Oryctolagus cuniculus: one gene and its partner. The protein of the gene in region 1 interacts with the protein of each later gene in a biochemical or structural test. Links are inferred from orthologs where the notes say so. Each region holds a gene or a part of one and is shown in the gene's direction. Other genes may lie near its edges.

Region 1 (15,610 bases):
CAGGTGGTCCCAGCCTTCCCCCAAGGGACACTCCGCAGCAGGACTGTTCCTACCCTCCGCCATCACTCGGCTGCCACGGGCATCTCGAGGGTCTGCAAATCACTTTTGAGCAGATCTTGACTTCGCAGAGGCAGGGCCGTGTGTGGCATGGGGACAGCTGCCCAGAACCACTCCAGCCTGGGCCAGCAGCTCCGCAGGCGTAGGAAGCTGTGGAGCAGCCCTGGAGCTTTCCAGTGTCAGGGCCCAGAGCTCACGCTCCGTCCACCCGGGAGCCCACCCAGCACCCTTTCGGGCCTGTTTACCCTCATGCTGGTGAACAGCTTTCCACCCCCAGACAGGTCCCTTTCTGCGTGTGGCAGTGAGTGTTCGTGTCTGTCCCTGGGAAGGAATAGCCTTTAGGCAGCCTTTGCTGGGTGGCGACAGCACCGGCCGTGGACAGCCCCTGACCCGTGGTAGAGATGGGCACGGCTCAGCGTTTGTTCTGCAGCCCTGTGGGAGCGGGGGTGGTTTGAGGCCAGGGATGGGAAGGACGAGGTCACAAGGTGACTCCGGTCACTTAGGAGCTCCTGGAATTGGGCAGCAGCACTTGGGCGTCAGCACTCTGAGGCTGAGGCTGGAGTCCCACCCAGGCAGTACAGCGCAGTGGCTAGCCCCATTGACTCCAGAGCCAGCCTGACCCAGTCTGCTGGCTGTGTGGCCGGGTGAGATGTGTGAAGCCGATGGCAGCACCTGCCTTGCGGGTTGTTGGCAGTAACCAGGTTGGTGAGGGTGTGGGCAGTGGTCAGTGTGGTGCCTGCTACATTGTATCCATCGCTGGTGACTCCTGACGTGGGCACCACAGTGCCCGGCTCCTGGGGGGAGATGCACACCTAGGGCGGGCCCATACAGCTCAGTGGCCCTTATCTCGGCTTCTTAAGCACATTCCGGGCTCTGAACCCTTGGCTAACCCTGGATATCTCAAGCGGGAGACGCCCAGGTGCCCAGTGAACAGGGAAGCTGTGCAGCAGGCAGAGAGGGGGCGCCCCGCGCAGATCAGGGAGGCCAGATCTCACTCAGCCGAGGGAGGCAGCCTGGCGCAGGGGCTCGGCCTGCGTGGAGACAGAGCTGGCTGCGTGCACAGGCCAACGCCACGTGCCCAAGGTGGGAGGCTGCGTCCAAGGGTCTGGGAGGCTGTGACCTGGCTGTGGCAAGTGGGCAGGAGCCGGGAAGGGCTTCTGAGCACCCTCCACACCCAGCCCAGCCACCACAGCCCCAGCGCAGCCCCTCCTCCAGGAAGATGCCCTTGGGGGCCAAGACCCCGGGGGCGGATGGCCGGCGGCTCTGGGGCAGCCAGGTCAGGCTCCTGCACCGGCCTGCCTCCAGCTGGGGGAACCCTGCGTCTCTGGCTGCCAGCCCCGTTTCCTTCTGCCCGAGGCTCTGGACGTGCACACACACTCTGACTCCCCCGTGCTCCCCTGCATGAGGTCCGGGCCCTGTCGGCCTTTGCCGAAGCTCCGGGACCCAGCGTGGGGCTCTGGCTCCTGCTGCTGCTCTTGGGAAAGCCTCGCTTCTGTGGGCAGAGCACTGGCAGCGCCTCAGAGCGAGCAGCTGCAAGTCGAGGCCTGGGCACCCGCTCCCGGCACAGCCGGGCAGGCAGCCTCCGAGGCCTGCTGGGGCCAGAGACGGCAGCATGCGGGCACCGCCTTGGGCAGAAATGCCGAGGCCAGGCCGGCGGGGGAGGGGCTGCTGTGCCCGCAGGCAGGCGCCGCGTCCTGTGTGGGTGGGTGTGGGTGGGACCTGGGGAGCGGGCTGGGCACTGCAGGGAGCTCTGCACAGCCTCCCATCCGAGCACGGCCCAGCCTTCCAGACGGGGCTGCCGCTGTACACTCACGTGCACCCACGTGCGCACACGCACACGCCTGCACCATTTAGAGGAAGGAGCAAGAAAGGGCGGGCGTGTGTGCTGAGCCCGTCCCAGGGGCCTGCGGTCCCCACCTCCTGAAGTCTGTGCTTGGGAAGGGGCCTTCCTGCCTGGCCTGGGCTCTGCCTCTTCTCCCAGGCGCCTGCCTCTCACCTGGAGACCCCCAGGTCCCCCGCATGCCTGTGCGGGCCCAGGCGGTCGCCGACTGCCCGCGCTTCCCACCCCTCCCGCAGTCATCCTGACGGATGAGGAGGTGCAGCGGAAGCGGGAGATGATCCTGAAGCGGAAGGAGGAGGAGGCCCTGAGGGACAGTCTGCGGCCCAGGCTGTCCGACGAGCAGCAGCGCATCATTGCCATCCTGCTGGACGCCCACCACAAGACCTACGACCCTACCTATGCCGACTTCTGCCAGTTCCGGGTGTGTGCTGCCGGCAGCAGGAGCGGGGTGGGGGTGGGGCCCAGCCTGGCAGGTTCCTGGCCCTGGAGCACTGGACAGCCCTGGCCCATGGGCCTCCCTGGAGATGGGAGAGTTGAGACCCCGTGTCTCCCTGCAGCCTCCGATCCGCGAGGCGGAGCGTGGACAGAGCCACCCGTGGAAGCCCACACCCAGCTGCTCCGGGGACTCCTGCTGCTCGGGCTCAGACCACCTCAGTTCCTTCTCAGGTACCCAGGGCCCCCTGCGAGAGCCCAGCCCAGTGCACTGGCCGGGGTGGGGGAACGTGCCCCAGGCCTGTGCTGGGAGGAGGCCAGGCTAGGGTCCGCCTCTCGCCCAGGCCCCTTCTGTGGGGCCAGGTTCTGCCCATGGCCGTTCCCTGGAGCTCTCCTGGCTCCTTGTGAGAGTGTTTTGTCCCCAAGTCCCCTGGGAGGGGGCATTTGGAGTAGCCCCTTGCAGCACCCCCAGTCTGGGCCCTGCCACCTGCACGTGGGAGACGGCTCTTCCTCTCACACCCCTTGACCACTCACCCTGCCACCTGCCCTGTTCTCCCTCCGCCCCTCAACTGGCCCTGCTGTCCCACACCAGGGGTTGTTAGGAGGATGGGGATGGAGAAAGCCCTCACTCCAAGCAAGCTGAGCCCCAGATCCGCCACCTGCGGCCCCAGTGCTGGGACCAGGATGGGTGGATGGGGTCCCAGCACGGCCTGGACAGAGGCGGCAGATGAAGCTTCATGGGTGGACAGATGGGAGGGGTCAGTGCCAGCAAGATCCCCACCCCCAGATTCTGGTGTGGGCCCCCTGTGCTAATTCTGCACCCACTCCTGCCCTTCCCCACTGCCATCCAAGTCCCCCTTCCGCGTCTCGGCAGCTCCGTGCCAGCTGGAGTGACGCCACTTACAGCTGACTGACAGGGGGCGTGAACCCCAGCTGTGACGCACTCAGTGTCTGTGTGCACAAGTTAGCGCTTTTCATTTTAGAAGATGCTTATCATGGATAGATGCTGGAAGGTCTTCCCTGGAGAGTTCCCACAACATTCGTGGGAAATAGAAGGAAAGATACTGATTTTGGTGCAAACGTTTCTTCAAGTCGTGCATGGTTTTTCCATCCTGTGTGTTTTCCGTGACACCCTGCAGACCTCTTGCGATCCCGACACACCTGCGCCCGGCTGTGTCACGGGTGTGTACCTGGGGCACCTGGATGCTCGCCTGGCTCCTGTTGTCCATGAGCGGCATCGCTGTGGTCCCTGAGTGCACACATCTGGTTCCCCCCACACCCACGCAGACCCCGGCGCCTCCGTGACGCATGCGGGGTGAGCTCCTCCTCTTCCCTCCACTTCCCCAGAGCTGATGGAGCCGTCCAGCCTCTCCAGCCTGGAGCAGGACCAGGAAGATTCAGATGACCCTTCGGTGACGCTGGACCTGTCGCATCTCTCCATGTTGCCCCACCTGGCAGACCTGGTCAGCTACAGTATCCAGAAGGTCATCGGCTTTGCCAAGATGATCCCAGGGTTCAGGTGAGAGGCTCCGTCATGCCTGGAGCAGGGTTCAGGACCCGTGGCCTGGGGCCCCCAGTCCACTGCCGCTGACCAGACTCAAGCCAGCCCATATCTGTGTGTCCAGAAGTGCAGGCCTCCCTGCTGGCTCCAGGGCCTGTTGGGAACATGACCCCTCCCCATGCCTGAGATGGAGGGAAAGCCCCGAGCATCTCGGTGGCCACCAGGGGCTCCTTCCTGGAGCTGGAGCCAGCCCCTTGGCGCGTCCACAGCGGACCTCACCCCCAGACTGTGCCTCTAACTGCGGCCTGCTGATGCCTCTGCACACAGTCTTGAGCCAGAAAACCTGACAGAGAGGAGACAGGGAGCAGTGCAGGAAGCCAGAGGACGCGTGGCAGCGGTGGCCGTGACCTGGTCTTTTCCAAGCCAGCAGGCGCGTGAGTGAGGTCACTCAGAGGAGTTCCACTTTTTAGTCCAGTGTTCTCCTGTTGGCAGTGGTGTGTGAAGCTTCTATTTAACCATGCAGGTGGTGTTGATATTCTTAAACCAGTAGACTGTTGTTACTTTCAGTACATACCTAGTGAGACTGTGTGTCTGCACCTGAGTGTACCTACACCCTCACGGTGGGTACGTGGTGAGACCGTGTGTCTGCATCTGAGTCTATCTACACCCTCACTGTGGGTATGTGGTGATTCTGTGTCTGCATCTGAGTGTATCTACACCCTGACTGTGGATACGTGGTGAGAACCTTGTCTGCATCTGAGTGTATCTACACCCTGACTATGGATATGTGGTGAGACTGTGTGTCTGCATCTGAGTGTACCTACACCCTCACTGTGGGTATGTGGTGATTCTGTGTCTGCATCTGAGTGTATCTACACCCTGACTATGGATATGTGGTGAGACTGTGTGTCTGCATCTGAGTGTATCTACACCCTCACGGTGGGTATGTGGTGATTCTGTTTCTGCATCTGAGTGTATCTACACCCTGACTGTGGTGAGACTGTGTGTCTGCATCTGAGTGTATCTACACCCTGACTATGGATATGTGGTGACACTGTGTGTCTGTATCTGTGTATCTACACCCTGACTGTGGATATGTGGTGAGACCGTGTATCTGCGTCTGAGTGTTATCTACACCCTGACTGTGGATATGTGGTGAGACTGTGTCTGTATCTGAGTGTACCTACATGCTCACTGTGGGTATGTGGTGATTCTGTTTCTGCATCTGAGTGTATCTACACCCTCACTGTGGATAGGTGGTGAGAACCTATGTCTGTATCTGAGTGTATATACACCCTCCCTGTGGATATGTGGTGAGACCGTGTGTCTGTATCTGAGTGTATCTACACCCTCCTTGTGGATATGTGGTGAGAATCTGTGTCTGCATCTGAGTGTATCTACACCCTGACTGTGGATACATAGTGAGAACCTGTGTCTGCACCTGAGTGTACCTACACCCTCACTGTGGGTACGTGGTGAGACCGTGTATCTGCATCTGAGTGTATCTGCACCCTGACTGTGGAGACATGGTGAGAACTTGTGTCTGTATCTGAGTATATCTACACCCTGACTGTGGGCACACGGTGAGAACCTGTGTCTGCATCTGAGTGTATCTACACTCTCACGGTGGGTACGTGGTGAGACCGTTTCTGCACCTGAGTGTATCTACACCCTGACTGTGGATACATAGTGAGAACCTGTGTCTGCACCTGAGTGTACCTACACCCTCACTGAGGATACATGGTGAGACCATGTATGTATATCTGGGTGTACCTACACCCTCATTGTGGGTATGTGATGAGAACCTGTGTTTGTATCTGGGTGTATCTACACCCTCCCTGTGGATACTTGGTAAGAACCTGTTTCTGTATCTGAGTGTACCTGCACCCTCATTGTGGGCACATGGTGAGAACCTGTGTCTGCATTTGAGTGTATCTACACCTGACTGTGGGCACATGGTGAGAACCTGTGTCTGCACCTGAGTGTACCTACACCCTCCCTGTGGATATGTGGTGAGACCGTGTGTCTGCGTCTGAGTATATCTACTCCCTCCCTGTGGGTACAAGGTGAGAACTTGTGTCTGCATCTGAGTGTATCTACACCCTCCTTGTGGTTACATGGTGTAACTTGTGTCTGCATCTGAGTGTATCTACACCCTCCTTGTGGTTACATGGTGTAACTTGTGTCGACATCTGAATGTATCTACACCCTCCCTGCGGATACATGGTGAGACCATGTGTCTGTATCTGAGTGTATCTGTACCTTCCTTGTGGATATGTGGTGAGACCACTGTGTCTACAGCTATGTGTTTCTGCACCCTCCTTCTCTCTAAAATTGATATGTTCCATTGCCATGGAATTAATGCACATAGAGACTTCAAGAATTGCAGGGAATTAAAAGATGTTTTTGCCCAAAAATCATTTTTCAAATGTGCACAGCGTTTTCATGTTCACTTTTCATGATCTCTATAGACTCCTCCTGTGCATAGAGTTAAACATTTTTTCTACCTAAATAAATCTCTTTCGGTTCCCTTGTCCTCAGAGTTTACGAGGTCCCCTCTTGCACTGTGACTGACCAATAGACAGGAAGTGATGGACACGTGTGGAGTGAGCCCTCCTGGGGCAGCTGTGCCTGTGGTGGCTGCAGAAGCTCCTGGTGTGGCTGCTCGGGGCCTGCCCGGCTTCTGCTGCGACCACACTTTGCTCTCGCTGCTGTGGGCGGGCCCCGGCGTGGGGAGGGCGATGGCTGCTGTGGCTGTGCTCCTGCTTGTGCCCAGCCCTTGGGCTGCCCCACACAGGTCCCTGGAGTAGCTGGTGCCATGGGAGAGGCTGGCAAAGGGGGCAGTGGTGGCCCCTGTACATGCATTCCCGGGGCTTCTCCCCTCTGCTCAGCCCTCTGGCACTGGGCCTAGGCGTGGCCATGACACCGTCCCTGCCTCCTGGGGGGCGTACACAGGGAGCAACTCCCCTACCACAGGGCCACAGCCCTGGTTGGGTGGGGAGGACGGGGCAGCACAACCCAGCCACAGCCCAGGGACCCAGCAGGGGCTCACAATCCAGGAAGCGCCTGGCTGGCATGGGGAGTGGTCATACTGGGTTCCTCTGGAGCGCCACCTCCCACCCACCTCTGTCCCCCGCTCCGGCTGTGGCTGTACCTACAGTGTCCTGTGTTTCCAGGCTGTGGGTGGGGTTGTGGGTCCATGTGGCTTTGCTTTTGTGGCAGCGGCTTGTCTAGGTCACGGTAAGCGGCAAAGCCATTGACATCTCTGCCAAGCGCCACAGGCTCAGCACTCAGCACCGTGCTCACGTCCATGCACTCAATACCACACCTGTACCCACTGCCACACCTGTACACACATCACACTCACCACACCTGTACACACATCACACTCGCCACACCTGTACCCACATCACACTCGCCACACCTGTACCCACCGCCACACCTGTACCCAAATCACACTCGCCACACCTGTACCCACCGCCACACCTGTACCCAAATCACACTCGCCACACCTGTACACACATCACACTCGCCACACCTGTACCCACCGCCACACCTGTACACACATCACACTCGCCACACCTGTACCCACCGCCACACCTGTACACACATCACACTCGCCACACCTGTACACACATCACACTCGCCACACCTGAATATGCCACCACGGTCCACCACGCCTGTACATGCCACCACACTCACACACCATGCACTATTCTGGGTGGGAGGGGTGACAAGTGACCAAAACGTCCACAAACAGGCGAAGGGGAGGCTGATGGGGTGAGTCAGGTGCGCACCCGCCGCGAGTGGGCCGCGGGAGTTTCACTGACACAGGAAGTGGGCTGCAGAACGCGAGTTTGCGCAGACGGATGACAGGGAGCGCGCCGCATGCTTGGCGCGTTCTGAGCCCTTGTTCTTTGCCTTTGTATTTTTTCTGTTTTGTCCAGGGATGTATGAGAAGCTATGGTTTACTTGTCTGATGAGCTAAACCCAAGTGGGGTGGGGTCGGTTTTTATGTTAAAATGAGGACTGAGGGTAGGGGAGAGCGTCGGCACGCATGACGTTCTTCCTGGGAAACGAGGCAAGACTCCGGTCCCCGCAGCCGAGCGCAGCTCCGGGACTGCGGCACCGTGCGGGCCGCGAGCACCCGGCTCCAGCTGCGTCCCGTGGAGGCAGTGTCAGGCCAGGCGCTGGAGGGGGCCCCGCCTGCTCCCACACCTGGGCTGCTCCATGCAGATGCGGGCGGCCATCCCAGCAGACATGGAGCCATCAGGGCTGCCTGTCCTGATGCGCATGCGTGCGGCCGCTCTCTGGAGTATCCGTCAGGAGGAGAAGCCGGCAGGGGAGAGCCTGGGTCTGCCCCTCCTGGCCGTGTTCAGGCAGGCCCCGCTGGCGACTCAGACGGAGGCTCTCGTCCCAGCGGCGTGTGCTTCCCGGGAGGCCCCTCACAAACAGCCAGACCGGGGATCAGAGCCCAGGACGAGCTGGGGGCACCGAGGGGAGTGGGCTCTGCGTGTCCCTTTTCCCGTGGGCTGCTGATGAGTGGCTTTGTGCTCAGAAACACAGCCTGGCTCCACACCCACCCCACCGCCTGCCCTGCCCTCCTACTGCCACCGCTCCCACCTCGGCCCCAGCCGGGGGCTGTGTGGAGGGGAGCCCCGCAGAGAGCTGGGGTGGGCGCGCAGGGGGGCCCGGCTGCTCGGCTCTGGGGCTCACCTGTCACCTGGGCTCCAGGTGCACTGAGCTGTCGTGTCGGCCCCTCCCCTCAGGGACCTCACCTCCGAAGACCAGATCGTGCTGCTCAAGTCCAGCGCCATCGAAGTCATCATGCTGCGCTCCAACCAGTCCTTCACCACGGACGACATGTCCTGGGACTGCGGCAGCCAGGACTACAAGTACAACATCAGCGACGTGACCAGAGGTGCGTCCAGCCCACGGAGGGCCGGGGGGGAGGGGGGCATGGTGGCTCCAGACCTGCCCGCAGCACGCACCTGTCTCCCCCAGCTGGACACAGTCTGGAGTTGATCGAGCCCCTCATCAAGTTCCAGGTGGGGCTGAAGAAGCTGAACCTGCACGAGGAAGAGCACGTGCTGCTCATGGCCATCTGCATCGTGTCCCCAGGTGTGCCCGGCCGCGGGGAGCGGGCAGGACAGAGGGCCCCAGGCGGAGAGGCCCATGGCAGGCACCGCTTTGCTGCCTGTGTTGAGGGCCCCTGAGACCACGGCTTTGCTCTGTGGAGACCGCAGGTCACCGAGGAGCCAAAGCGCCGGGTTCGGTGGTCCTGTGTGGGCCTGGGTGTCCTCCAGACCGGGGCCTGCTCTCTGTGGAGCCGGCTGGGCTTCCTGTGGCTGCAGCTCCTCAGAGTCAGGGCCTGGGGGTGGCACCGCCTGGACCCCCCTCTTCCGCTTGTTTGGGCAGGGAGAGGGAAAAAGGCTGAGGAAGAAGCTTCCGTGCCCCAGCGTCAGAGTGAGGGGAGCCCCAGGCCCCGCAGCTATGGCGGATACCGGGCACCAGGCTGGGCCCTGGCTCGTGCCCCAGGCAGCCTGGGCAGGCACCTGCTCCTGCTGCGGTTCAACAACTGACTGACAGAGGGAGGCTGATGGGGACCCTGGTGGAGACGGAGCTCCAGGACAGATGGACAGGGAGTGGAGACAGAGCTCCAGGACAGATGGACAGGAGTGGAGACGGAGCTCCAGGACAGAGGGACAGACAGGGAGTGGAGACGGAGCTCCAGGACAGATGGACAGAGGAACAGGAGTGGAGACGGAGCTCCAGGACAGATGGACAGATGGACAGGAGTGGAGACGGAGCTCCAGGACAGACGGACAGATGGACAGGAGTGGAGACGGAGCTCCAGGACAGATGGACAGATGGACAGGAGTGGAGACGGAGCTCCAGGACAGATGGACAGAGGGACAGGGAGTGGAGACGGAGCTCCAGGACAGAGGGACAGAGGGACAGGGAGTGGAGACGGAGCTCCAGGACAGAGGGACAGGGAGTGGAAACAGAGCTCCAGGACAGATGGACAGATGGACAGGGAGTGGAGACGGAGCTCCAGGACAGAGGGACAAGGGACAGGGAGTGGCGACGGAGCTCCAGGACAGATGGACAGGGAGTGGCGACGGAGCTCCAGGACAGATGGACAGGGAGTGGAGACGGAGCTCCAGGACAGAGGGACAGAGGGATAGGGAGTGGAGATGGAGCTGTGGGGAGCAACTCGGACTAGACTGTTACTGGAATTAAGACTTATTCTATGCATCTGCTCTCCCACAATATGGCACTGAGAAGGGAGTAACAACTTCTACGCAGCTGCCTCTCGCAAACTTGAGTGATGACCTGCAGGAGCTGATGCTGCTCCTGATTGGAGGAGAGCAGCGTACTCGGCGTGTGGGTAGCAGAGTTGGGATTGGTGGAAGAGGACTATAAAGGAGGAGAGAGACAACATGCACCAGGAACATCTATCTGAAGGAACACCTGTGCAGCCCCCGAGAGAGCCGGCCGGCGGTGTGCCGCTCCCCCGCGGAAGTGGGAAAAGTGGCAGGGGGAACCGCCCTTCCATGGAGGTGGAAGGGACGGTAGCCAACCCGGGAAGAACCAGCAGCAAACCCGGGGAGGGCCGAGCAGACAAAAGAACAGCGCAGGGTCCTGTGTCGTTCCTCCACAAAGAGGGGGAGCGACACGGAGCTCCAGGACAGATGGACAGAGGGACAGGGAGTGGAGACGGAGCTCCAGGACAGAGGGACAGGGAGTGGAGACGGAGCTCCAGGACAGATGGACAGATGGACAGGAGTGGAGACGGAGCTCCAGGACAGATGGACAGATGGACAGGAGTGGAGACGGAGCTCCAGGACAGATGGACAGATGGACAGGAGTGGAGACGGAGCTCCAGGACAGAGGGACAGAGGGACAGGGAGTGGAGACGGAGCTCCAGGACAGATGGACAGGGAGTGGAAACAGAGCTCCAGGACAGATGGACAGATGGACAGGGAGTGGAGACGGAGCTCCAGGACAGAGGGACAAGGGACAGGGAGTGGAGACGGAGCTCCAGGACAGATGGACAGATGGACAGGGAGTGGAGACGGAGCTCCAGGACAGATGGACAGAGGGACAGGGAGTGGAGACGGAGCTCCAGGACAGAGGGACAGAGGGACAGGGAGTGGAGACGGAGCTCCAGGACAGAGGGACAGGGAGTGGAAACAGAGCTCCAGGACAGATGGACAGATGGACAGGGAGTGGAGACGGAGCTCCAGGACAGAGGGACAGATGGACAGGGAGTGGAGACGGAGCTCCAGGACAGATGGACAGATGGACAGGAGTGGAGACGGAGCTCCAGGACAGAGGGACAGATGGACAGGGAGTGGAGACAGAGCTCCAGGACAGATGGACAGACAGGGAGTGGAGACGGAGCTCCAGGACAGATGGACAGAGGGACAGGGAGTGGAGACGGAGCTCCAGGACAGAGGGACAGATGGACAGGGAGTGGAGATGGAGCTCCAGGACAGATGGACAAGGGACAGGGAGTGGAGACGGAGCTCCAGGACAGATGGACAGAGGGACAGGGAGTGGAGACGGAGCTCCAGGACAGATGGACAAGGGACAGGGAGTGGAGACAGAGCTCCAGGACAGATGGACAGATGGACAGGGAGTGGAGACAGAGCTCCAGGACAGATGGACAGAGGGACAGGGAGTGGAGACGGAGCTCCAGGACAGAGGGACAGAGGGACAGGGAGTGGAGACGGAGCTCCAGGACAGAGGGACAGGGAGTGGAAACAGAGCTCCAGGACAGATGGACAGATGGACAGGGAGTGGAGACGGAGCTCCAGGACAGAGGGACAAGGGACAGGGAGTGGAGACGGAGCTCCAGGACAGATGGACAGATGGACAGGGAGTGGAGACGGAGCTCCAGGACAGATGGACAGAGGGACAGGGAGTGGAGACGGAGCTCCAGGACAGATGGACAGAGGGACAGGGAGTGGAGACGGAGCTCCAGGACAGAGGCACAGGGAGTGGAAACAGAGCTCCAGGACAGAGGGACAGATGGACAGGGAGTGGAGATGGAGCTCCAGGACAGATGGACAGATGGACAGGAGTGGAGACGGAGCTCCAGGACAGAGGGACAGATGGACAGGGAGTGGAGACAGAGCTCCAGGACAGATGGACAGACAGGGAGTGGAGACGGAGCTCCAGGACAGATGGACAGAGGGACAGGGAGTGGAGACGGAGCTCCAGGACAGATGGACAGAGGGACAGGGAGTGGAGACGGAGCTCCAGGACAGAGGGACAGGGAGTGGAAACAGAGCTCCAGGACAGATGGACAGATGGACAGGGAGTGGAGACGGAGCTCCAGGACAGAGGGACAAGGGACAGGGAGTGGAGACGGAGCTCCAGGACAGATGGACAGAGGGACAGGGAGTGGAGACGGAGCTCCAGGACAGATGGACAGAGGGACAGGGAGTGGAGACGGAGCTCCAGGACAGATGGACAGAGGGACAGGGAGTGGAGACGGAGCTCCAGGACAGAGGGACAGGGAGTGGAAACAGAGCTCCAGGACAGAGGGACAGATGGACAGGGAGTGGAGATGGAGCTCCAGGACAGATGGACAGATGGACAGGAGTGGAGACGGAGCTCCAGGACAGATGGACAGATGGACAGGGAGTGGAGACAGAGCTCCAGGACAGATGGACAGACAGGGAGTGGAGACGGAGCTCCAGGACAGATGGACAGAGGGACAGGGAGTGGAGACGGAGCTCCAGGACAGATGGACAGATGGACAGGGAGTGGAGATGGAGCTCCAGGACAGATGGACAAGGGACAGGGAGTGGAGACGGAGCTCCAGGACAGAGGGACAGGGAGTGGAGACGGAGCTCCAGGACAGATGGACAAGGGACAGGGAGTGGAGACAGAGCTCCAGGACAGAGGGACAGAGGGACAGGGAGTGGAGACGGAGCTCCAGGACAGAGGGACAAGGAGTGGAGACAGAGCTCCAGGACAGATGGACAGATGGACAGGGAGTGGAGACAGAGCTCCAGGACAGATGGACAAGGGACAGGGAGTGGCGACGGAGCTCCAGGACAGATGGACAGGGAGTGGAGACGTAGCTCCAGGACAGAGGGACAGGGAGTGGAGACAGAGCTCCAGGACAGATGGACAGAGGGACAGGGAGTGGTGACGTAGCTCCAGGACAGATGGACAGGGAGTGGAGACGTAGCTCCAGGACAGAGGGACATGGAGTGGAGACGGAGCTCCAGGACAGAGGGACTGATGGACAGAGCACAGGATGTGGAGGTGGAAGTAGGACTTGACCCAAAGCACAGGACGGTGGGTTCCAGCAGGTGTGGCTGGGGCCACAGAATGCTGGGTGGGGCGAGGCAGGGAGAGTGGGGGCTGCAGGCTGAGCCCTGTGCCCCCCTCCCCACGCCCAGACCGTCCCGGGGTGCAGGACACCCGGCTGGTGGAGGCCATCCAGGACCGCCTGTCCAACACGCTGCAGACCTACATCCGCTGCCGCCACCCTCCGCCGGGCAGCCACCAGCTCTACGCCAAGATGATCCAGAAGCTGGCGGACCTGCGCGGCCTCAACGAGGAGCACTCCAAGCAGTACCGCTGCCTGTCCTTCCAGCCGGGGAGCAGCACCAAGCTCACGCCCCTGGTGCTCGAGGTCTTCGGCAATGAGCTCTCCTGACCGCCCTCCCCCTCTGCCCCTGCAGCCCACCCCACTCCTCCCCTCCCACCCCTGCCCTGCCACAGGCCCAGGGAGACGCCCCACTCCGCAGGGGACTGCAAGTGCTGGCTGAGCATCCAGCAGGCATGACAACGCGCCCAGGCCCTCTTCCTGAGCCCCCACAGCGAACGGCCAGAGGGTCACCCCCACAGCGAACGGCCAGAGGGTCACCCCCACAGCGAACGGCCAGAGGGTCACCCCCACAGCGAACGGCCAGACGGTCACCCCCACAGCGAACGGCCAGACGGTCACCACCACAGCGAACGGCCAGAGGGTCACCCCCACAGCGAACGGCCAGAGGGTCACCACCACCACGTCCCATTGCCCGTCTGTGCTCACCTGACCTGGGCAGGGCTGCCGAGGGCCTCCCACCCCTGTTGTCTGGACACTTGCTCTAGGGCTCTGGGGCCAGGTGGTGGGTGGCTGCCATCTGAGAAGTCGGGTGAGACCCTTGAACCTGTGACGTTCCTTGCTTGGGGGGGCAGTTGGGGGACATGGCTGCCACCACCAGGAGAGTCTGGAGACCCCTGGGGCAGACTTGGCCCCGCAGCAGCCGTCCTGTGGAAGCTGTACCACTGCCACTGTCTATGCTGTGTTCTGATACAGAGGGGAGCAGCGCCCCCGGCCCTCGCGTCAGTTACCACCGTGGTTGCTGCCCAGGGGCCCAAGGAGACCCCCTGGCTGAGGTTCAGCTGCAGGACTCGAAGCTTGGAGGTCACTGAGCAAGTGCACCCTGCGGCCAGAACCCTGCCCCCCGGGGAGCCCCGGCTTCCACACAAGGACCTCCCTTCCGAGCCTCTGTCTCAATGTGAATCAGTGCCGGGTTCCTCCTTGTTCAACGCTGATCAATAAACGCGTCTGCCCCGCTCTGCCCGCGGCCTTGCCTACTCCAGGCTCTGACCAGGCGGAGCTCGGGACGCAGCCCCTGCCGCCCACCTGGGAGCCCAGTGCAGGAGGGGAACGTGGGGCTGGGTGGGGCTGGGGGCGTGTGCAGAAGGCGCTTGCAAACCGGAAGCCGAGGTGTGAGCGGGGTCGGGAGCAAGTGCGGGGCAACAGATTCCGGGAGGGAGGGTGGGGTGCTACCGGGGACTCCCTGAGAGCAGAGACTGGAGCAAACCCGTGAAGAAGCTGCCCTTCCTGGGGCACCTCCCGGGGGGCGAGCACGCTCCCTGAGGACTCCCCGGCCCTGACCACCCCCTGCCGCCTCTGGTGGGGACAGTTTGAGGGGCCTGACAGCACCGTCCCAAACTGCAGGGGAGGGGTCCCATTCTCAGGTGGGCCCCGAGGAGCAGGGTCCATCAGTCCCGCCCCTGAGGCGCGTGTGGCTGCACCTGAGGCCTTCCCAGGGCAGCAGGTGCAGGTGGCTGACGGGCCCAGGGCGCCGCGTGCACGGGAAGGCGCTCCTGCCCGTGTCTGTCCCGAGGTAGTCGCTCTGTGTGCCTGTGCGGCTGAAAAGCTCTTGAACCCAGGGCTTCTCACGCGTCGTGAGTGGGCATGAGGGTCTCCTGGTCGGGAAAGGCGAGTGGACTCGGAGGCACGGCTTTGCCGGGAGGAGGGCGGGTTGAGGGCATGTTGGGAGAGCCAGGCTTTTCCTCGTGACTCTGAGGCTGCTGCGTGTGGTCATCACTTTCCCCACCTGCGCTCGCACTGTGGCCACCTCGGCCACTGGATGGAGAAGGCTTAGACTTAAAATAGCTACCATTGGATTGGGCAGGCGTTTGATGTAGCAGTTAGGACGCCGGGCACAGTCCTCTGGGTTCAGTTCCTGGCTCTGGCTCCTGACTCCGGCTGCCCACGGATGTGGGCCCTGGCAGGCAGCGGTGATGGCTCAATGCCTCGGGCCTCCCCTACCCGCATGGGGGACTTGGGTGGAGTTCCCAGCTCCCTGGCTCCGGCCCTGCCCCCAAGCCCCAGCTGTTGCAGACCTTTGGGGAGTGATCAGGTGGTGGGGAGCTCTCTGCCTCTCAAATACATATATTTACATTTTTAAAATGGTTATTTCAACAATAGAAGTAAACCCCTCAGCTCCCAAGCCACATCAGCCATGGTGCTCCGTGGC
Region 2 (14,606 bases), on another chromosome or scaffold:
CCTGTCCCTCTGTCTCCATCCAGTTCCCCCTCCCCAGCCCTGACGCAGCCAGAGTGCCCGCCTCCTGACTTCGCTGATTGACAGATGCATGACCTTTGGGCCGGTTACTGCACCTGGCTGGCCTCAGTTTTTGGGTCTGTAAAACAGGGATAGATGAAGAAGGCGGCAGAGGTGCCACGCCGTAATAACTCATGTTAAGGGCTCTGGAAGAAGTCCCTGGCACTTGCTGGGCACTAGGCGTACGTCCACTGCCCGCATCCCTTGCGCCGTTGCCAGTCCCTTCGGGGATCATCTCTCCGAAGGACCCCCACGCTGCCCCAGGCACCCTGTGTTCTGCCTCATTCCACCAGCTGGATCATGAACACTGATACTGAACTCAGCCTGAGTGACAGTCTTGGCTTCGTCGTGGACCCCTCTGTCACACCGTGTCCCTCACAGAGGGGCCTGGCTGTACGGTGCCAACCTCCGTTCTCTGGCACCAGACTCCCACACCTGCTGTGGGTCTGGCCACACCTGCCAGAGGCGTGGCCTGAGCAGTTTCTGGCCCCTTCACGTCTTGGGTGGCTGCCCCTGTGGCCTGCATGGGCATCGTCTGGCCTTCTCATTTTCCAACGTCCTCTATCGTGTTGGGGTTGTCCCCTTATGTCATCACGCAGCTGGCTGTGTCACGGAGCCCTCGGGGGAGTTGTCCCATGTCTACACTGGCTGAACCCTGCATCTGTGTGCCCACAGTTTTGGTGGGCCTGACGCAGCAGACGGCCCTTCCCTCACCTGTCTGATCGTGTCAGGGCACTACCTGTCTCCCTGCCCAGCCTCTGTGCCTGCTGTATGGCTGCCAGGGCCACTCTGACTCAGGCCTCATGGGGAGAGAGCTAAGGCAGAGGCTGGGGTTTACATGAACCCAGGGACCCTAGCCTTCTGACTGGCTACTTTATCCTCAGGACTCCGGGATGGCAGGGCTGGCCTCCAGGGTCCAGGGCTTCGGGATGTACCCTGTCCAGCCCTCTCGGCAGGCACTACTCCATGCCAAAGCTGTGTCCAGGCAGCTGGAGAGGCCGGAGGGCTGAGCCACCCCTCCCAGCTGGTGCAGAGGTGAGCCCACTGCCCCTGGACGCTGCCCCGCCCCGCCCCCGGCCCTGCACCCCCTCCCTCACCTTCCTTCGCTCTTTCTCCAGACGGCCTTTGGCAGGGGAGGCGTGGCAGGAGGAAGCTTCGGCCCCCAGCTCGGAGGAGGGAGGAGCGGCTGACCCGGAGGCGCAGCTCCACCTGAGCCTTGCCAAGCACCTGCTGAGTGGTCTGGGGGACCGGCTGTGCCGCCTGCTGCGGAGGGAGCGGGAGATCTTGGCCTGGGCACAGCGTGAAGGTGAGCGAAGCTCAGGGGCTTGTGGGGGAGGGGGCCCCCTCCCACCTGCCCTGCCTGTCGCCAGGCCTGCCAGGACCCATGGCTGTCAGCGCTGAAGTTTCTGGCTGCGGGGTGGTGGTGGCAGCGGCGGGGAGGGGGGGACCTGGGAAATAAAGGCTGGTCTAGCCCAATCCTCTGTGAGCTGGAGGACTTGGTGGGAAAACCAGACTGAGTGTGCCGGAGCCCTGCGAGCTGGGGAGCTCAGGAGGGCTTCTGGTAGGACGGGCGGGCGTTCGGCAGGTGCAGGCAGGGCCTTCGCTCCGCTCCTGGGGCTCCGGGCTCTTCCCCCGCAGCCCTTTCCCAGCCCTGAGAGGCCCTTGGCGGCGTCCTCCCGCCCCGGAGAGGCCGGGCAGGGAGAGACTGGGCCCCTGCCCTTCTGCAGCCGCTCCAGCCTGGACTCCGGCATGTGCCCCCACTCCGGAGTCTCACAGCTCATCCTTCCTGGCCCTGGCTGTTCCCTTGCTCTGGGATGCCCCGCCCCTCCCTTCCTCCCTGGCCCCACCCTATGGGGGCCGCCTGCATGCTCCCCACCGCTGCCTCCCTCCTGTTTCCGGTGAACCCCCCTTGGCCCTCATGGTGCAGTGTCTGAGCCCATCTCCCTACCTGGATTGGAATGTGAGCACCAGGAGGCGGGGCTGAAGCCCACCAGCTCTGAGTCTGCCTGCCTACCAGGCAGTGAGTGACCAGGGGTTCACGCTCCTTAAATCGTCTTCCCTAAAGAAAAAAAAATCTGCCTTGGGTGAGAGCAGGAGGCGCCTCTGAGGGTTTGCCCTGCTAATATGAGGCCTTTTAAAAATGCTTACGGGAACTGCAAGTTCATTTGAAACCTATGCACGGATGGATGGCAAAAAGAATTCTGCAGCCAAACGTTGGCTTACGTTTTTGGTCTGTTTTTCCGTGGACTTGTAGAAGGGCCTCCCAGAGACTTGAGGCCCCCTGGACGAAAGGCACGGGGGGGGGGGGCGAGGATTTTGAGTCAGGTGGCATGTTGGAGGCGGTGTGGTTTAGTAACCCACACCAGCAGGGAGAGCCTGGGACAGCACCGAGGGCGGGGCAGGAAGGGGGCAGCTGAGGCTGTCCCAGGGAGGGGTTTGCTGGACAGAGTGGTTTCTTGCCAGGAGGCCCTTGTCTGGGCTGTTGAGGAGGTAGGGGCCACCTTTAAAGGGCCTTTGGGGAGCGGGGCACCATGGGACACCCTCCAGGGGTACTGCTCTCTGCGTCTCTTGCTCTAGCTGTCTGCAGGCTTCCCGCTAGGGGCCAGTGTTGTCTTCAGCCCTCTGACCCCGTTCTCTCTCTGTGGTCAGCAGGTCAGGGGCCAACCGTGAGCGAGGACAAGCCAGGCAGTCCACGCTGCTGTAGCCGTTGCCACCACGGGCTCTTCAACACCCACTGGAGATGCCCCCGCTGCAGCCGCCGGCTGTGTGTGGCCTGTGGCCGCGTGGCAGCCGCCGGGAGGGCCAGGGAGAAGGCAGGTGAGACGGGAGGGAGGGGCTCCCTGGGGCTGAGGGGTGAGACAGAGAGCCGGGCCATTTGTAGGGGGGAGGGGTGGCGGAGGCCACAGCAAGGCTGGTCCACAGCACGGAGAGCGTCCCCACCCGGTGCCCAACCTGCCCGCCTGCCCATGGCCAGCGCTGCTCACTGCCCCTTAGAGTGGCTCTCTCCCTCCGCCTAGACCAGAGTGCCACGCTCATGTCCTTGCCGGCCCTTAGAGAAGCCCGGTGCCTCCTCTGTGCCTCCCACTGTGCTCAGCTAGCACCTGTCTTAGCCTGGGCTCACTCTGTGACATGGGTATTGTGGCCTCCGATCTTCAAACAAGTGAAATGCAGAGTGGCGTCGGCGCCGGGATGGGGCGCCGAGTCTGCCCTGTTCCCTCCACGGGTCTCTCAGCTTTCTCTTCCTTGGCCACCTGAGGACTCCCAAGTTTCCCCGTGTTCCCATAGATGTGGCCAAACGGCGTTCCAGGATGCGCTGTGTTCTGGAACATTCTCTTCCGTATGACCGCCCTGGGATCTTGCAAAGTGTCTCCGCGTATTTAAGGTCTCCGTGTTCTGTAAGCAGAGACTCCTGTGTTACGGTGTGAGCCGGGCTTCCCAGAAAGCACCGCTTGGTGAATTCTGGAGCCTTGATTTAGATGTCGCATCCTTGGCCGTCTTCCCTGACCTCGGCCTGTGGTCGCCTTGCATTCTGGACCTGCAGCCTCTCCCTTCCTACCCCACAGGCGCTCAGGAGCAGGCCACACAGCACTGTGCCCAGGAGGCCGGGCACTCCGCCTGCTCCCTAGTGTTAACCCAGTTTGTCTCCAGCCAGGGTGAGCCACCGTGGAGGGGTGGGGCGTGCAGAGGGTGTGTCCTGTCTGGTTGTCCATGCCCTTGTCACCACCAAACTCCCTTTCTCCCTCCCACCCCGCCTCCACGCCCAGCCTTGGCAGAGCTGAGCGCTGCAATGCACCAGGTCTGGGTCAAGTTTGACATCCGGGGACCTTGCCTCTGCCAAGCTGATGCCCGGGTGTGGGCTCCCGGGAATGGAGGCCAGCAGGTAAGAACCAGGGCCTGGCAAGGTGGCAGGGGATGCTGGTGGGACTGTGACCCCTTAGGGGGGGATGAAGAGGGACAAGGGAGCCAGTGACCTCAGACGGCTTCCTGCCTTCCCTGGGATTAGGACCCAGGCAGCCAGCTCTGGCACCTGGCCCACCTCCTCCCCACTGGAAGTCCTCGCTCCCTGCCTGCCGAGAGTCCTCCCCCACGACCTGCAAATCCTAGCACAGCACCTGCCACTGGACGCTGGGTGCCCTTTTGGAGGGTCCCCGGGCTCCTTCAGGAAACATACGTAGCAGGCATTCCTGCAGCATCTTAGCAAAGTTTGCGTGAAGTTCATGATTTGACTATAAAACTTGTCCACGCAACGATGGATGCACCGCGTGCGTGTCACATAGCCATCGTGGAACATTGGGCAAATATGGACAAGTGTAAGGAACACAATGCCGTGGCCTCGGACACTTCCCAGAGCTGCTCTGGTCTGTTCCCTCCCAGTCATTTGTCTGCCTATTTATTCGTCTGTTTTGCTACATGAGGGGACTTCCAAAAGTTCATGGAAAATGGAATGAAAATAGAAGGTTCTTTTGCTGCAAAAAAAGAAATATTGAAATCTACGCATAGTTCTTTTCCTAATGAAATGATTTATTTATTTATTTGAAAGTCAGAGCTATAGAGAGAGGAAGAGAACAGAGAGACAGTGTGAGAGAGAGACAGTGAGAGAGAGAGAGAGAGATCCTGTGATTGAAGGCGGCAGCTTTACCCTGCTACACCACAGGGCCGCCTCTGATGCATAGTTGTTTTTTATTTTAAATATGTATGTATTTATTTATTTGAAAGTCAGAGAGAGAGGGAGAGATGCTTGTTCACTCCCCAAAGGGCCGCAATGACCAGGGCTGGATCAGGCCAAAGCCAGGAGCCAGGAGCTTCATCTGGGTCTCCCATGTGGGTGCAGGGGCCCAAGGCCTTGGGCCATCTTCCACTGCTTTCTCAGGCACATTAGCAGGGAGCTGGATAGGAAGAGGAGCAGCCGGGACTTGAACCGGTGTCCATGTGGGATGCCGGCGTCGCAGGCAGCATTTTGCGTGTGCTTTCAGAGGACCCCTGTGTAGAAGTCCACGAGCAGCTCCGTCCTGCCTCGCAGCCCTTCTTGCTCCTAAAAACGCAACATTAGGACTTGCGAGAGCCCATGCCTCCTTCTTGTAGGTTGAGTTGTGTCTGCCGTGTTTTAAATCTCTGGTTGGATGGGGGGGGTGGCGGATGGGTTTAACAGAAGGAGCCGTCAGAGAAAACTGCCCCAACTGCTCAGCCTTCCTGTAATGGGGACATCACCAGGACCAAGGACATCAAAGAGGGTGAGCGGCCCCCCTGGTCCCTCGGACCGTGCAGGGGGAGGCTGGGCCAGACGCAGAAGCAGGAGGGGAGCAAGCAGTAGACGTCTCTAGGAGAGATCTGGAGCTGCCAAGAGACCCCCGGGCCCAGACCCCTGCTCTGGGCCCCGCCTTCTTCATGTTCAGGAGATTTGGGGGGGGGGGTTAAGAGATCCTGGGGCAGATTTGGGGTGGGGAGTAGCGGGGAGGGGACAGCAGGCTCAGCCAGGGGGTGAGGGCAGAGCACCATAGGCAGAGAAAGACAAGGGGCAACACATGAAGCCCCTCACCAGTCCCCTCCCTCCCACCCCCCCAACAGAAACCCCAGACTGCGGCGAGAACTCAGCAGATGAGCGTGCGGGCCGGGGGCCTCTGCCTTGTCCATCTCTCTGCGAACTGCTGGCTTCCACCGCCGTCAAACTCTGCCTGGGGCACGAGCGTATCCACATGGCCTTCGCGCCCGTCACGCCGGCCCTGCCCAGCGTAAGCAAGGCCGCGAGGAAAGGCTGGGGGACTACCCCCTGGGGGCGGGGACCTCCCCCCCCCCCCCCCCCGCCAGGCCCATGGCTTCTGAGCCTGCGCCGCCCGGCATCCCCTCCTCCCCGCAGGACGATCGCATCACCAACATCCTGGACAGCATCATCGCACAGGTGGTAGAGCGCAAGATCCAGGAGAAAGCCCTGGGCCCTGGGCTTCGGGCCGGGCCGGGCCTGCGCAAGGGCCTGAGCCTGCCCCTGTCTCCAGTGCAGCCCAGGCTGCCTCACGCCGGGGCTCTGCTGTGGCTGCAGGAGCCCAGGCCCGGGCGCAGCCTCCATCTGTTCCAGGAGCACTGGAGGCAGGGCCAGGTGGGGCTCGCGCGCTCTCCTCTCTCTCAGCCCTCCTGCCCCTTGGGCCCCAGGGCATCCAGGCGGGCAGCAGGGTTGAGTCCCGGTGCTATTGGCGCCGCGCTGCGGGCACGCCCCGCACTCACGCCCCGCCCCCCGGGGCCTCCTTCCTCCCACCTCAGCCCGTGTTGGTGTCAGGGATTAAGAGGACGCTTCGAGACAGCCTGTGGACCAAGGAGGCCCTCGGAGCGCTAGGAGGCCAGGTGCAGGTGCTAAGCCCCCTGGGCCCTCCCCAGCCCACGAGTGTGAGCAGCACAGCCTTCTGGGATGGCTTCTCCCGTCCTGAGAGTAAGCACCCCCCCAACCACGGGCGGAGGAGGGAGTGGGCGGGGCCTGAGCCACAGGTACCGGGAGTGCGGGCGGCCCGGGTGGCATGTGCTGCTATCAACGGGCCGGGGCCCTTTCTGTCTCTCTCCTCAGTTCGCCCCAGGTCGGACGAGGGCTCCATCCTCCTGCTGCATCGCACTCTAGGGGAGGAAGACAGCAGCAGGTGTGCGCCGTAGGGGGCCCAGCCCTGGCTCCCTCGCCCCCACCCCCACCCCATGCCGCTTGCTCCGTCGGTCCCCCCAACCCCGGGCGTCTCAGCGGATCCCTGTGCCTGGCTGGGCCTGCTGGGCATGACTCCCTCCCCTCCCCACAGGGTGGAGAACCTGGATGCCAGCCTGCCACTCCGAGAGTACTGTGCCCACCACGGGAAACTCAACCTGGCCTCCTACCTCCCGCCAGGCCCGTCCCTGCAGCCACTGGAACCCAAGCTCTGGGCAGCCTATGGTGAGTGCCCCCTGCACCCCCGCCCACTCCCCGACCCCTGACCCCTCCAGCATCGGGCACTCGTTTGTCGGTGCCAAGGTCCTGAGGCCTGAGGCACTTCTCTTATTCCGCTGCCCCCTCCTCCCCCCCACCCGGTGCAGGTGTGAGCCCACACCGTGGACACCTGGGGACCAAAAACCTTTGTGTGGAAGTGGCCGACCTGGTCAGCATCCTGGCGCACGCCGAGGGCCCGCTACCTGCTTGGCACCGGGCACAGAAAGGTGGGGCCTGGGCCGGAGACAAGGGCGGGGACAAGCTACTGAGGCAGGTGCCCATCTCCGCCGCCCCTGGGCCCGCCTGAGTGGTCTTTCTCCAGCAGATGTCCTCGCAGGCCTGGACGGGGAGGGGCTGTGGTCTCCGGGCAGCCAGGTCAGCACTGTGTGGCACGTGTTCCGGGCACAGGACGCTCAGCGCATCCGCCGTTTCCTGCAGATGGTGAGGAGGCAGCCCGGAGCCCGCCCCCTGCCCATATACCCGGCCCCAGAAGCTCCGCCCCAGGAGCAAGCTCCTGGCCCCGCCCCTCTGTACGGACAGGCGGACAGGCAAGGAGCAAGCAGACTGGGCTCAGAGAAGGAGCAGGAGGCGGCGGCGGAGGCGGGGCGCGGGGCTCGGGTCGCAGTGAACAGCCGTGACCACCGTCACACTGGGCCGCTGCCTGCCCATTTTGCTAGGAGAAAACCGCAGCCCGGTGGGAGAGCTGGGATCCGAGCCATGGCGGCCCCAGACCCCGGTCACCGTGCTGTGCTCTTCCTGGGGGCTCTGGCCAAGGGCTGGCAGGAGGACCAAGGGGAGCTCCTCTCTCATCTCCACCGAATCAGAAGGGACTTCCTGGTGGAGGTGCCAGCCTGCGGGGGGCTGAGGAGGCAGCGTGGCAGGGGAGGGAACCACTGGACCAGGATAGGACAGGGCAGGAGAAAGGGGTCATGGGAGTGGAAGGGAGGCACAGGCTCCAGGAGGGGCAAGAGGTCAGAGTTAAGGCCAGGGCAGGCCCCAGGTTCCAAAATCCAGCTGAGCCCTGATTGTGCTGGGGAAAACTAAAACAACTCCCAAAGATGTGCACATACACAGAGGGGAGACAGCACACCTTTATAAACCAATGGCTTCCCCTGGGCCGGGCTGGGTGTGGCTGACCGTGGGCTGTCCCGTGTGGCCCAACCCGATGACTCAGGGAGGAAGGTCTGAGACGCATGCTCACTGGCTGGCCTGGGAAACCCTGCGCTTGCCCCAGGATGGACTTGAATCTTGGCACCCAGCTGGGACTCCCCTCGGGTCTGAGCGGCCCCCTACCCCATGCCCCGTGAGCCATGGGGTCAAAGGCAGAGGGGCTGGCTGAGGAGGGTGGATTTCGCTGGTGGCCAGTGGTAGTATGCAGCTCTGCAGGTGCTCCATGGGCACCCCTAGCCCCGACAAGGCCCTGCCAGCCCAAGGAGCTCTCTGCTCTTTTGGGCTTGGGAAGCCCCCTGCCCCTGCTCCCCCGTGGCCGCACCTGCTGCAGGGGCCTCAGCCTGTCCAGCCACTGGCAACCAGAGCTTGTGGGTGGCCTTGTGTTTTCTGGATCCGGGCTCTCAGGAGAAGCTGACGAGAGCTTGGGGTTGGCTCCCCAGGGACTGAGCCACCTGCTCATCCATAGTTCAGGCCAACTCAGGTCCTGGGTTAAGACCCGCTGGTATAGACGGTGTGTGAGAGCTGGGGTCCTGTGCAGCGTCTTCTGGGGTGGCCGAGAAAGGGGTACCATTGAGAGGACTCAGAGGGGCCAAACGTGGGGTGCTGGAGCCCCCGGAAGGCATCCACCCTCAGGGAAAGCAACGATGTGGCCCCACAGCTCCTGTGCCTTGAGCCTGGTCCTCTTAGCGCTGTGGGGGCACAAGTTTGCTCTGCCAGCCCGACTGCCCTGCTCACCACGGGGGCCCTGCCTTTCCTCCCAGCCGCTCCCAGCCGCCAAGACTTTGGATGACTCCGGCTGTGTCCCGTGCCCCAGGCCTCCCCTGGGGAGCCCACGCCCCCGTCCTCCCAGCCTCCCTGTTCATCGGCCCTTCTCTTCTTTGAGGTCTGCCCCGCCGTGGCGGGCACCCTGGAGCCCGGCGCCCCGGGCAGCTGCTACCTGGACACAGGGCTGCGGCGCCGGCTGCGGGACGAGTGGGGCGTGAGCTGCTGGACCCTGCTGCAGGCCCCTGGAGAGGCTGTGCTGGTGCCCGCGGGAGCGCCCCACCAGGTGCTTCCCTGGCGGCTGCAGTGCGGGGCGGGTGGTGTGAGGAGGGGTGGGGGTCAGGCTGCCAGGGGCGCTAGGGTGTAGTACACAGAGCTAGGCATGATGGGAGGTGGCGCCTGGCACAGGGAGGAGAGGGGCTGAGTGGTCCCCTTGAGGGGTTCAGCCTGCTAGTATTGGCCCCGGGGATGGAATCTGGTCCTGGCCACGCCCCCTACACCCATGCACTAGTATACTGATGGGGAGGACCCTGTCCCCTCTGGCATCAGGGTATCTGGGGCTGGCCCCAGGCCCTGTGCCCCCTGGGGACTGGGCAGAGGGCAGCAGGAGGAAGCAGGGACAGGGGGAGAGGGCAAGATCGTGAGCCTCTGCTGACCCACCCGCCCGTGTTCTTCCTGGCACAGGTGCAGGGCCTGGTCAGCACGGTCAGTGTCACCCAGCACTTCCTGTCCCCCGAGACCTGTGCCCTCTCTGCTCAGCTCTGCCACCAGGGACCCAGCCTGCCCACTGCCCACCGCCTGCTTTATGCCCAGGTGAGTGAGACCCTCCCCCTGCCGCCAATGCAGGGTGCGGTGGGCATAGCAGGTCCAGCTCTGTGCCAAGGCAGGGAGGGAACGGGGTGGAGGGGGCTGGAGGTTGGGGACTAGGAACGTGGTAGAAAACCCTTTGTCTTCTCTCTCTGTTCTAGATGGACTGGGCGGTGTTCCAAGCAGTGAAGGTGGCTGTGGGGACATTACAGGAGACTGACAAATAGGGGAATCCCAGGTGTCAGAGGTCAGGGCAGGAGCAGGTAGACCAGGTGCTCAGCCCGGGTGATGCTTCAGCAGGGAATGAGGCTGGGGAGCTTGGGGGCTGTTAGTCACTCTCACAAGCACCACAGGCAGGGCACACGGTTCCTGCTCCCTGCCCAGAGTGCCACCAAAGCTGCACCTGCCCCACCCCGTATCCCCCTCCAGGGCACCAGGCCTACACGGGGGGTGACTAACTCCCTCCACCCTACCCCTGCCGCCTCCCTTGGGGGACCTCACAATCATTCTGGCTTTAGCAACTCTTACTTCTGTTGCCTCATCGTCTGCCCTTGAACTCCGCTTCTACCTCCCAGGTACCCCCTGGGCTCCCCCGCCCCGCAGCCCTGCACACTGCAGGCCGGTCTGCCAGAAGAGCCGGGAAGTATGGGGTGGGCAGGCGGGAGGGAGTGCCATGGGCCACGTCACCCTGTCTCACTTCCTTCTCCCCGATTCCTGATGTCCACTGAGGCCCGTGTGGTGGCAGCCCCCAGCGTGGGGGCGGGGAGGGGAGGCGTGCAGTCTGCTCTGGGGCAGGAGTTGGGGGATGGGAGGAGATGGGGACCTCAAACAGCACCGCCTGCTCTTCTTCTGGGCGCCCGGGCCCCTGCCCCCTCCCACGGAGGAGCAGATGGACCCCCCCCCCCCCAGGGGGACGCTTCGTGGAGATGCTCCTGACCGTGTGGCCATGGAAGGCAGAGCCCTGGGACCAACAGCAAGGTGGCCTCTCTCCTCCCAGTGGCTGCAGATTCCAAAGGCACACCCCTTCTGTCTCTCCTGCGCACCCTGACCCGGAGACCCAGGCATGGGGCCCAAGGGAGCCCTTGTCCAGTCCATCTGCCGCCGTGGCCACAGCCACCTCCAGGTCCGGCTGCCTGGGACAGCTTCATTCACAACCTCAGGCAGCTCCCGTCTCCTCCCCATGGCCCCTCTGGCCAGACTCTGCCTTCTACTCCCTCCCTGTGTATCTCAGCCCCAGACAACACCCTGGCTCTTGTCATACCTAATTCTTCCTGCTCTGGTTTGGGGAATGGTGTGTTTTTTTATTATTAAATAAAAATTTTTTATTATAAGTGTAAAGTGCTTTGAAAACCTTTAGAAAATAACAAACTCACCTTCAAGGCTCTCGCTACTCACCCCTGGCCACAACCCAACCACTATTACTGTGTCGGTAAATTTCCTTCTAGTACGCTCCGCAAGGATCTGTTGTATCCAGGACGTTTTGTACTTGGTGTCTCCCAGCACTGTTGTAATCGCTTTCTGTATGGCCCTAACCTTCATTTTAAGCGGCTGCTTCTAGTCCATCCAGTGGCTTTGTCATGATCTACATAACCATCCTCGTCTGAAAACAGATTTTAGGTTTCTTCCTGGTTTAGAGAGCTTGCTGGTTTTCACGTTTTCTTGGTATGAAGGGAAAAACTGGGAGAACTTTATGTTACCATGCGCCTGTCTGCACTGGCCACTTTCAGTCGGCTTTCACACGCCAGAAGAGGGAGCCGGCAGGTGGGGGTCACCAGCAAGGTCAGTGCAGATCTGGGATTTGAACCAGGTTTTCTGATCAAGGCTCCGCACGTGTGAGAGTTCTCGCCGCTGAGACGCTGCTCCCGCTTGAGCACTTTTAGAGCCGATCAGGCACCAAATGACACGTTCCTCCCGACATGTCAGCTGCCGAAGCCGAATCCCGCCATCACCCCAGACCAGGGCCCTTCCCAAGGGAGGGTGAGGCTCTGAACTGTGTCCATTAGGGGTGCCGACGGCCCAGGCACTGTCCCCCTACCCCCACCCCCCCTCCCAGGTAGGTGCAGGATTTGCGAGTTTCACGGGGAATGGGAATGGGGGTTTCAGTGCAGTGGTTAGGACGGGGGCGGGGGCGGGGGGGGGTGCCTGCTTCTCGTTCCGGAGTGTCAGGGTCCGAGGCCTGGCTCTGCTCCAGGTCCCGGCTTCCTGTTCATGAGCACCCTTGGAGGAGGCAGCCGGTGCTGGTTCAAGTACATGGGTCCCTGCTACCCATGTGGGAGACCCAGGTTGAGTTCTGGGCTCCTGGCTTTGGCCTGGCCCAGGCACTAGCTGTGTGGGCACTTGGGGGAGTGAACCAGTGGGTGACAGTCTTCTCTTTCAAATAAATAAGTATTTTTTAAAAGTTCGTGGAAAATATGTGTTATGAAAAATACTATGCATGGATTTAAAAAAATTCTTCTTTCATTCTGTTCTCCATGAACTTCTTGAAGTACCCTCACATCTGGTCTCTGTAAACAGCAGGTGGGTCAATGCCCATTTGCTCCAGGGCTGGGCCTGGGAACAGAGCCAGTCCCGGTGGGGGCTGACCCTGGCCCTCGGCTTGGGGCACCAGTGCCCGGGAGAACCTTGGGCCTCTGCTTCTACCGGGGTCCGCAGTTCAATGTCCACCTTCTGCCGCCAGCCCAGACACCACTGACACGCCCGTCACAGAGCTGGCAGGGAGCTCGGCGTATACGTAGTCAATGCCTTTTTTTCCTTCTCTCTTCTAAAATCCTCAGATGTTTTGTGCTGAAATAATTGTGGTCCGACGGCCGTGTCACCAAGATAGCACAGAAAGCGCCCAGGTGCCCCTCCGCCAGCTTCCCTTAAGACAAACATCTTCCATAAACCCAGTGCCCTCGGCAAAACCAAGACAATACCATCACTGCGTCCCACTGAGACGTCCCGGCTTGCCCACTCTCCCATCCCTGGGTCCGGCAGTTTGTCCATGTTTGACCTTGGCTCCCCCCAAGGTCATTCAAACAGCAAGGAGGCTCTGCCACCAGGCTGCCCCCTCCTGCTGACCACTCGGCCAAGAGCCAGGGCTGCTGCCCTGGAGAGGAATCTCGGGCTACAGACATCTCTGCCCTGCCCTGCTCACCCGTCCATGTCCATGTCCACGTCCATGTCTGCGTTCCTGTGCTGAGGCTGCTGACCCCAGGCCGCCCAGCTCACGTGCGCCAGTTGGGGCACTCATGTCCAATAGGCGGGGCGGCCGCCCGCTCTGGCCTCTGGGAACGGAGGCCACGGGGCAGATTTGAAGATTCCGGAGAGCTTCCGTATCTGCCCCCCCACCCCCCACTTTGTGTGTCTCCCAGGCTTAACCCAAGCAAGCCTCTTGGTGCTGGGGAGGGCGCTCCCCGCCAGGGCCCGCAGGGCCGCTGGACAGGAGGGGAGCGCTCTCTTGGTGAGAACAGGGGTGGGGTGGGGGGAAGTGGAGCTGAGGTTTAGGGCGGTTGGACCGTCTGGTGTTTATCTCAAGATGCCTCTGACGCTCTCAGAGCCATGCCCAGACATGATCTCACTCTCTCGTTCAGTCATCCCTGGAGGCAGAAGGGAGTCTGGCAGCAGTACTGCCCCCACTTCACAGGTGGGAAAACTGAGGATCACACACGCACGGAGCCAATCTGTTGTCCTGGGGTACTGCACCCAGCCCCAGGGAGCTGGTTGAGAGGTGTTGGACAGGGCAAGTGCCTCAAAAGCTTAGGGGGTGCCCGTGTGGCCCTGCACAGGGCTCTGTCTGCAGCAAGCGTGCAGCCAGTCCCCCACCGCGAGAAGGGTCTACGGCTCCCCAGTGGAACCTGTTCTCAGGCACAAGCCAGGAGGGTGGGCCTTTGCGGCGTAGCCCAGCCTGCAGGCTCCGGGGCTGCCCGGGGCCCACACGGCTCCTCTCGAATAGCCTGCCTTGCCATCCACCCTGGCCAAGAAAAGCTGCCAGGAACCTAATCGGAAGCCCACCACATCCCCAAGGAGCGCAGAGCCGGCCGGTCAGCAGGGCGGGTGGGTGGCTTTGCTCTCATCAGCCAGCTACTGTCCCCAACCCCCGAAGGCGGAGGGAGGAGGGGCCGGTGGGGGAGGCCTGTGTGGGTGAGGAGCCCAGACTTGGCTGGCTCTTCGGATTCCTCCCAGCTGGCGGCGAGGAGGAAAGGTCAGGCTGAGCCGAGCGAGCGGGAGCTGGCCACGCTGCAGCGCCCTGCGCAGGACACGCCGTGGACAGGAGGACGCTAAGGGCAGCCCCCAGTGCCCAGCCCTGTCCCCTCCCCGCGTCCGGCCCGCCCCGATCGTGATCACTTAGCATTTAGGCTGTCACCCTCAACCGACTTTTTATTATGGATCAGAACCTCGCGTTCCCGAACCCCAGCCCTCGGCGGGACATCCAGTACGTGTCAGCGAAGTCAGAAGAAAGTTACTTAGGTCGTCATCATCTCAGACAATGCCCTGGCGGGTTAAGACAAAAGGCGGGGGCCGCGGGTCCCGGGGCGGACACCCTGGCCGCCGTGACGTCATCGGGCCTGTGACGTCACCGCCGCGGCGCCCCGCACCCTGCGGGCCAGATGGCGTCACCATCGGAACCTGCGTAAACAAGTATGCGCTCGGGGAGCCGCGGCGAGAGAGAGACAGAAAGAGACAGAGAGAGAGAGACAGCGCGCTGACCCTGGGGCAGGAGCCGGGCCGGAGGTCCGCTCGGCCCCACAGGGCGTTAGGCCCCCTGACGGGCTGGCCCCGCCCCGGGCGGCCGGCGCGGGCCAATCCGGGCGGGCCGCGGCGCCACGCAGCCTATCAGCGGCCAGGGCTCGCCGGGCGCTTCCGCGTTGGGCAGCTCGCCGGCGCGGGCCGGGCC

Evidence for each region.
Region 2: the proteins of VDR (region 1) and HR form a complex in vitro, tested with the Homo sapiens proteins (2 studies listed by BioGRID and IntAct). The link is inferred for Oryctolagus cuniculus from reciprocal best matches to the Homo sapiens genes VDR and HR.

What each region holds. Positions count from the first base shown.
Region 1 is NC_091440.1:137,480,756-137,496,365, reverse strand, and holds the end of VDR (vitamin D3 receptor), read left to right. Parts: intron 1-2,133; coding exon 2,134-2,318; intron 2,319-2,454; coding exon 2,455-2,563; intron 2,564-3,676; coding exon 3,677-3,848; intron 3,849-8,599; coding exon 8,600-8,751; intron 8,752-8,834; coding exon 8,835-8,951; intron 8,952-13,252; coding exon 13,253-13,512; 3' UTR 13,513-14,422; downstream 14,423-15,610.
Region 2 is NC_091439.1:1,180,818-1,195,423, forward strand, and holds the end of HR (lysine-specific demethylase hairless), read left to right. Parts: intron 1-941; coding exon 942-1,092; intron 1,093-1,175; coding exon 1,176-1,363; intron 1,364-2,706; coding exon 2,707-2,874; intron 2,875-3,620; coding exon 3,621-3,710; intron 3,711-3,821; coding exon 3,822-3,937; intron 3,938-5,206; coding exon 5,207-5,288; intron 5,289-5,622; coding exon 5,623-5,786; intron 5,787-5,911; coding exon 5,912-6,148; intron 6,149-6,309; coding exon 6,310-6,475; intron 6,476-6,607; coding exon 6,608-6,677; intron 6,678-6,827; coding exon 6,828-6,958; intron 6,959-7,098; coding exon 7,099-7,218; intron 7,219-7,316; coding exon 7,317-7,432; intron 7,433-9,044; coding exon 9,045-9,209; intron 9,210-9,607; coding exon 9,608-9,736; intron 9,737-9,891; coding exon 9,892-9,957; 3' UTR 9,958-11,068; downstream 11,069-14,606. UniProt on the Homo sapiens protein: Histone demethylase that specifically demethylates both mono- and dimethylated 'Lys-9' of histone H3. May act as a transcription regulator controlling hair biology (via targeting of collagens), neural activity, and cell cycle.